2 linked regions of the Ovis aries genome follow. The protein of the gene in region 1 interacts with the protein of each later gene in a pairwise test. Links are inferred from orthologs where the notes say so. Each region holds a gene or a part of one and is shown on either strand. Other genes may lie near its edges.

The links.
Region 2: the proteins of CTNNAL1 (region 1) and RNF135 interact in binary tests that used the Homo sapiens proteins (3 or more experiments, as listed by UniProt). The two-hybrid records come from large-scale screens. The link is inferred for Ovis aries from reciprocal best matches to the Homo sapiens genes CTNNAL1 and RNF135.

The regions. Positions count from the first base shown.
Region 1 is NC_056055.1:14,277,396-14,281,939, forward strand, and holds the start of CTNNAL1 (alpha-catulin), read left to right. Parts: upstream 1-1,711; 5' UTR 1,712-1,783; coding exon 1,784-1,924; intron 1,925-4,544. UniProt on the Homo sapiens protein: May modulate the Rho pathway signaling by providing a scaffold for the Lbc Rho guanine nucleotide exchange factor (ARHGEF1).
Region 2 is NC_056064.1:17,747,278-17,751,091, reverse strand, and holds part of RNF135 (E3 ubiquitin-protein ligase RNF135), read left to right. Parts: intron 1-1,841; coding exon 1,842-1,985; intron 1,986-3,814.

The sequences.
Region 1 (4,544 bases):
GTGTTTTTAACATGCTATTATATATTGTGAATTTATAAGAGGGGACAAAGACTCTGTTTACGAGACTTATTTGACCTTAAACTACACCTTCATCCTCTTTTTCTCAGAGCCTCTCAAAGGACTTGGGGTCCTTTGGGAAACATGGCTCTCGAATAAAAGTTTACAGCTCTTTTGGAAGACATCCGTAATAGAATTCTGAATGGCAGGCACATCTGCCATGTAAACTGTAATATATCACAAAGTTTAGTGAAATACCAGAAAAAAACCGTATTTGCCATTCAGAGCTATACATCAAGTATAGAGATTCTTTTCCGCCTATGGTGTATAAAGTCAGTATTTGTGTTTTACTTTTGAAAGTTTTTCAAAGATCAGTTAGAGTGCAGATGCAGTGGTGATATATTGATATGACATTTTAATAATGCTTTTGTATTGCACTTTATAGGTTTCAGACTGCTTTCGTAACAACCCTGTGAGATAGGCAGGCATCAAGTATTATCAGATCAAAGCTCAGAAAGGTTTTTTGTGATCTTTCCCTTAAATTTATACCACAAAATGATGGAGCCAGAGTTCAGTTGCAGAAATTCTGACTCCAAATCCAGAGTTCTGTACTCCACACCTGGTTTCTTTCTTTTTATTCTAGCTTTATATATTACTCTGAAAGCTGTGGTAACAAATTTTAAAACATTGTTTTGGCTTATTATCAAATACTGTTTTTAATGGCAGTGACCCAGACAATGTAACTCCAATTGTAATTATTCCAAAGAAAACCCGTCTTTTGTGCTTTGCAGTGCCACTTGTCTAGGTGATTGGAGTGTATTTCAAATACCATTTGATTTTGAAGCCAAGATTCGCTATATAGTTGTTATTGCTCATGTAACTTGTGGCAAATGTATCATCTCTGCATTCTCAGGCAAAGTAGAGATGGTTTGAAAGTAAAAAAGATTATTCAGATATAACCATGTGTCTTTATCCTCACAAATGCTGTTTCTTAGCTTTAACTTGCTTTGACAACCTACTGATGTAACATCTTTGTAAATGTAAGAATATTTATATTTTAAAATAAAATTACTAGTGTTGAATGAATCAAGTGGTAAACTTAGTCTCTGTTGAGAAATTCTATCTTCAGTGAAGTCAAACTTTAATGAATACATCTGTCCATCTCTTATGTCTTGTATCTTGCCTTGCCTTTGACACCAGTGCGCACAATGAATTTTTATGGAACATGGGCAGTTTACACCAGGGGAGATGTGTCTGTGAAAGCTCCAGAAAGACTGTAACCTGTAGAAGGCCTATCTTAGGGTAGAAGCCCGTCCCTACAGGCTTGACTCCTGTCCTAGTCTACCCATTATTAATAGTTTCAATCACAGCGCAGTTTCCAGGAATCTTGGGGAATTCGGATTTAGGAAGAGTCACTTCTCCGGAGGAGGGCAGGTAGCTTCCCTGAGCATGGATGTCCTTGGTCTGGTAAGAGGCCACATGTTCATGGGAAGGCCCTTTTTGGCAGGAGCGAGACTTGTGCGAAAGCCACTGAAGAATGATAAAAGAAACAAGATGGGCGGGAATGGGGGCAGGAGGGGCGGGGCCCGGGCTGGGGGGCGGGGCTGCAAGGCGGACCCCAGGCCGGAGCGCGTGGAGGCGGGGGGGCGGGGTCTTCCGGGGGCGGGGTCTCGGGCGGCGCGGGTGCCTTGCAGCTGCCGCGGGCGGGCGGGCCGGCTGGCTGGCGGGAGGCGGCGGGCCCGCAGCGGCGCGGCGTCCCGGCTGCGCGACGGGCTGAATAAAGGCCATGGCCGCCTCTCTGGGCCCCGCAGGCGGTGGCGGCGCCGGGGCAGCGCACGGCTCCGGCCCGTCGGGCTTCGCCTTCGACTCCGGACTCGAGATCAAAACTCGCTCGGTGGAGCAGACGCTGCTGCCGCTGGTTTCTCAGGTAAAGCGGCGCGCGCGGCCCCTGGTCTCACCCCCCTCGCCGCGGCCCGCGATGGCGGCGGTAGCTCCCGGCGGGGGCCTGGCCGGGCCGGGCCGGACGCAGCCGCTGCCCCACATTCCGTGCCGGGACTGCGGCGTCGGCGTCTGGTCGCCTTTCTGGGGCTTGAGGACTGGCCTTCGTTGAGGCGGAGGGAGTCTGGACCATCCGAAATCCGGCTGCGGGGCAGGGAGACCTGTGCGGACCAGAGTCCGGCTGCAGGTGCGCCGCCAGGCTTACGCACCCGAATCGCCCGGGGCTGCGACTCCGGCGGCCCCCGGCCCTGCTCCCGGGGAGCGGAGGGGACCTCCGCGGGGGCTCCGCTGGCCCTCAGGGGCCCTCCTCGCTGCCGTCACACCTTTGCATCTCCAGTCCCAACACGGACTGTAGCCGGTCTGGCTGGCGCGTGCCTCCGAGTCCAGCGTGCTCTCTCCCCTAGGCCTTTGTCCCTTCCCCGGATCGTGTGTAAGTCTGCTCCCCAGTCGCCCATTTACCCCGGGCCACCCTTCCCCTTAACCTGCCTGCTCACTTTAATTGGCTTTTGCTCGGCCTCGAAATGGTGAAGTGGAGGACCGCCTGATAGTTAATCCGGGTACACATCTTTTTGCCAAATCCCATTTGGGATGTATGGTTTATTGAATTTACCGGTCACAACAGAAGTCTGGAATCAGCTAATTGACGCGCTTAGCTTTAGAGAAGTTTTTGTTACTGAGAGCCGACTTATACGAACCCTCGGGGCTAGAATTCCTCTAGGTCTGATATGTGCCAAGCACTGTGGGCAGTGAAGAATTCTGTGCCTTAAGGAGCTCGCTGGATGTGTGACTCAACTCCTTTGTAACGTCTTGATGATTCACATTCGTATTGCCAAGATTTTCAAGGTAGAAGGAATCTTAAATGTTATCTGACTCTGAATTTTAAAAAATTCTCTCTTACAGCATCCTTGACATCTGGTCACCAGGGCCCTGCTTAAACATGCTCAGTGGTGTGGGCCTGTAGCTCGTCCATAGAATTTTCAATACTATTAATATCTCTAATCCATCCCAGCCTGCAAATATTTGATAACAGTAGCCACACATATCCCATATTTCTGTTATGCTGAGTAAATAGCCCATTTTCTTCACCCGTGCTTATTTTAGCCTGGCTAACAGAACAGTGAATAACCTTGATGCTCTGTATGGGCCTTCCCTTCCTTGTCGGAAAGAAGCACTGACAGGTGGGATGAGTTGAGGATCAGTTGGTGATGTCTGCATTTCCCTCTCCTACAAAAGAATACCATTACCACCACCAACACAACCACAACAGAAAATGAGAAATACTGGAGTAGTTTTAAGAGAGAGTTAAGAGAGTGGTATTTTATCCATTTAAAAATACAGTAATAAAGATAGAATGCTTACTGTGGGTGAGACCATGTTCTATGCACTTGATACATATTAGCCCATTTAATTCTCATAAATCTTACAGGGGTAGAGATATGTTTATTTTCATTATATGAATGAGGAAACTGAGGATAAGGGACTTGTGGGACTTTCACCTATAAATGTCCAACTAGGGTTTGCACCCTGACAGCCTCGTCCCAGAGTCTTAGCTACACCGCACTGTATTTGTCTCTAGAGATTAGAAGACGTGATGAGGTCAGCTAGTAGTAGGTCCAGATAAGAGAGTCACAATAGAAAACCAAGGTTGTTGTAATCTGCAGAAATGGTAACATTTCACAGTATCACTGCTAAAAATGTATCCTACAAGTTCTGCATTGTGTAATTCAGGGGTGAGAGAGGGTGGGCAGAGTAGGAGAGTGGAGAAGGAAACATGCATTGGCTGCTGAGAGTTAACTAGAGGTCAGTGCTAACGGGGGAAAATGTGGGCGTTTTTTTGTTTTTCCTTCCCTGTTAAAGGCTAATTCAGGGCCATAGCTGAGGTTCTGCATCCCACATATTATGTGTCCACAACTATATCTTTAGCATTATTATAACTGATGTTCCTAATGATTAACTGTGAAGGTGAAATCGCTCAGTCCTGTCCGACTCTTTGCGACCCCATGGACTATACAGTCCATGGAATTCTCCAGGCCATAATACTGGAGTGGGTTGCCTTTCCCTTCTCCAGGGGATCTTCTTGACCCAGGAATTGAACTGGGGTCTCCTGTTTTGCAGGCAGTACTCAACAATAAAAAAAGTTAAATCATGCTTAAAATAAAGAAATATCTATAGCATGGGCAAAACACTCACAAAGCAGAAGTGTGGAATGTGATTTAGAATGATTTTTATGTTTTAGTGAGTATTAGTGGATTCGGGAGTTAACTAGAGGTCAGTGCTAACTGGGGAAATGTGGGTATTTTTTTTGTTTTTCCTTCCCTGTTAAAGGCTAATTCAGGGCCATAGCTGAGGTTCTGCATCCCACATATTATGCGTCCACAGCTATATCTTTAGCATTATAACTGATATTCCTAATGATTAACTGGTTCCAAATAGGAAAAGGAGTACATCAAGGCTGTATATTGTCACCCTGCTTATTTAACTTATATGCAGAGTACATCATGAGAAATGCTGGGCTGGAAGAAGCACAGGCTGGAATCAAGATTGTCGGG
Region 2 (3,814 bases), on another chromosome or scaffold:
GGGGAGTCCCATGAACCAATATTGATACATTGTCATTTACTAAAATCCATAGTTGCAGTTCGCTCTGTGTTGTACCATTCTATGCGTTTTGACAAATGCACGAAGTCAGGTATCTGCAGTTATAGTTGTACTGCCTTCAAAACCCCCTGAGCCCCACCTTTGTGTATCCCCTCACCCCCTGCCAACCCCTGGCAATGACTGATTTTTTTTGCTATCTCTTTGGCTTTTCCAGAATGTCATACCATTGGCATCATACAGTGTCTAGCTTTCTCAGACTAGTTTCTTTCACTAAACATAATTAAGATTTGTGGCTTGACTGCTCATTTCTTTTTATTGCCAAATAATATTCCATTGCATACATGTCCCACAGTTTGTCTATTCACCTTTTAATGGACATATTGGTTGCTTCCTCCCCTCCCCCCCTTATAATTAAAGCTGTTTTCTTCTTTTTGGTTATAAACACAGCATTGGAAGTTCCCTGGTGGTCTAGTGGTTAGGATTCAGCGCTTTCACTGCTGTGGCCCAGGTTTTATCCCTGGTCAGGGGACTGAGACCCTACAAGCTGAGCAGTGTGGCCACAGATGAATAAATTCAGCATTATCCCTCAGGTCCTTAAAACTATTTGTTAGTATAGTGACTGAATATACTTTGCATTGGCTTTCAGATTACAATTGTCTGTGGATGGTAGGATATTGGATGATTTAAAATGTTTCTTCTTTCAACTCTGTGCATTTTCTACATTCATCATGATAAATGTGCAGTTTTATGGATAGAAAAAGCACCAACACTTATTTATAAAAGTTTTTAATTTGCTCAGGTGTCTAGATAAGGGCTCCACTCCAGAATTCCAGCTGCCAGAATGTTTAGGAGTGAGACCTGGATATACAAGAGCAAACAATGTTACCAGTGGTCAGCCACCTTCCTCTGAAAATTAGTCTGCATATGGCTTCTGAAACACATGCTATTTTGAGGGACATAAGTGCTTCTTAGAGATGAAAAATTAGTTCCAGTTTTTGAGGTTCCAGCATAATTTAAAAAGTGAGAGCTGTCCCCCCAAAGTTATTAAAAACTGTGGTTTATTTAGAGTAGAATAATGAAAATCTTGTATTTCTGTGGTTCTATGTAGGACCACTTTGGGAGGTAGTTCAGATTTCTCCAATGACTTCTGGGCCCCGCCTGCCTCTGATGATGGTCACCAGGTCTTGAGGTTGTTGCCAGAATATGTTGGTGGCCAAACTTCCTCCCACTCTCAGCCAGGCAGCTGCGCAGATGAAGCTCTGGAAGCGGAGTTGTTTAGCATTCTCATCTGAATGTTTCTTTAAATGTGAAGGACGCCGATAAACAAAAAGAGCTTGCATCTGTACAGCAATCTAGAATCTCCACGATCCTTTCATAGTAGATGCTTTTCACTGTTAAAAGGAACTAGGGGTGGTCGCTTTAATTTTTGAAAGGAGTGGTGAAGACGCAGGATGAGTCAGAGGTGAGAGTGGAGCTAAAGCCTGAGCTAAATGCCTTCCACTCAACGTACCAGCTGCCACCTGCACCAAATCTCCAGGCTCCCACCCTGCTTCCCCTCTGACTTCCCCAGTTCAAAATAACCCCAGTCTTTCCTTCATGCCTCACTCCCACCCCCCTGGCCCCATCTGATGGATGAACGCTGCTTCCCTGTGAACAACCAGCAGGGGGAGGTGGGAATGCGGAAAGTCCGAGGACTTTACCTCCTTTTCCTCTAGACATTTTTGTCACTTCCTTGCCCACTTCCTTTATCCAGTGTTTACGGCTCCCTCTGTCTAGAGCTGGTTCCCGGGTCCAGCTTTGTGTTCTGCTTTGCTCTTTTAAAGGTGGAGGCACCGAGGAGCGTCACAGAAGTTGACCGGGAGCTGGCAAAGCTGGTGGAACGGCTTATAGATATTGTCAGGAACCTTCAGAGTCCGAGACACCTCCCAGAATCTGAACCAGATAAAGAAGTGAGCATTCTGGCTATGGTAGGCTCATCTGGGAGAAGAAAGGATGTGCCAGGGGGTGGGGCTAGGGACAACTCCCTGGAACCGCTGGGAAGCAAGATGAATATGTTTGCCCTTGAAGGATGCGCTAAATCCCAATCTTTCACCTTGCTCTTCACTACCCAACACAGATAATTGGGAGTTTGGAATGTTTGAGGTGAGGTGTGAAGGCATCCATCCTTACCACTCCACATAACCAGCTTACTCCCCGAAGATCACCAGTGACCTCTATACAAATCCTCCAGACCTTCCAGCTTTTATTCTCATTGGCCTTTCAGCCACCTATGACATAGTTGACCACAGCATCATTCTTTTTTTTTTTTTAATTTTTAAAAAATTCTGTATGATTTTTAAAAGTTACACTTCGTTTACAGTTGTTACAAAATATCGGCTATGTTCCCAGTGTTGCACAACACATCCTCGTAGCCTGTCTCACACCCAGTAGTTTTTACCGCTCACTCCCCTGCCCCCGTGTTGCCTCTCTTCCCCTCTCTCCCCACTGATTTGTTTGGTTTTTAATATTTATATATATTTAATATATATATTTACAAAACACTGTGTAATAGCTGAATATATTTAAAAGAAAATCTGTTTTTGAAACCTGTTCTGCTATGACCGGAGATAAAACATCTTTTTCTTCCCCCTTTTTTCTTTTTAAAAAAAATTTTATTTTTGGAGTACAGTTGCTTCACAGAGTTGTATTTGTTTCTGCTGTGCAACACAGTGAATCAGCTACGCGAATATATATACTCCCCCCTCTCTCTTGAGCCTCCCTCCCATCCTCCTCCCATCCCACCCCTCTAGGTCATTAGAGAGCACCCAGCTGAGCTCCCGGTGATATACAGCAACCTCCCACTAGCTATTGCTAACCACAGATTTGTTTTCTGTATATCAGTGAGTCTGCTGCTTCTCACAACTTCATTCTTGAAGCTTTCTTTCCCCTTAGCTCTGAGATGCGAGTCTTCCAGTTTTCCCCCATGTCTCTCTGGCTGCTCTTTTCCGTCTGTTTGGCAGGTTCACTCTCCTCTGCTAAGCAGTGAAATGCTGGGATTCCTCAAGGCTGAGTTGTAGGTCACTGTCTCTTTCCCTCAGATGGCCCTGTCCACACCTGTGGCTTTCATTACCCACCCTGGGTACAAACGTAGCTTCAGTCTGGACCCTCCTCTGATCTGGTGTCTTCCTTCTCGTCTTTTCCTCTTGGCATCTCAGAGGCACATCACACTTAATCCATCCTGAGCTGTCTCTCCTCTAGGTACCCCGTCTGAGCAGCTGACCCTGTAACCATTCCAAATGCCCAAGTCAGAAAGCTGAGGATCATGTTGCCCTCCTCCATCACCTGCCTAAACATCTCTTGAACCTATTTACTATTCTGGAGCTTCTTAAAAACATCTCTAATCCAATCCTATGACCATCTCTGATCTGGATTTCTACCAAAGCCTCCTAATCACTCCATTCTGTTCCCTCTATAGAGTCACACTGCTTCTCATCACGGGGCCCATACCATGAAATGTTCTTCTTTTCCCCTGTCATGTAGGTCATGCCTGCTCATCCTTCAGACCTCGACTAGATTATCACTTCCTTGAAGAAGCCTTCACTGATTTCCTTGAACAAGTCAAGTTCCCTTACTAGAGGCTCTCATGTGTGTGATTCCATGTCCCTTTCTTTTGCAGCAGTTGTCAGACTTGTGACTTGATAGTGATTGACACCATAATTTATTGTCTTTCATTCCTGTTCCTAAGCACTGGACTCTAAGCTCTAGGGGGGCAGAGACCTTGATGACTTTTGTTCTTTTGTTCATTTTTGTTTTCCCA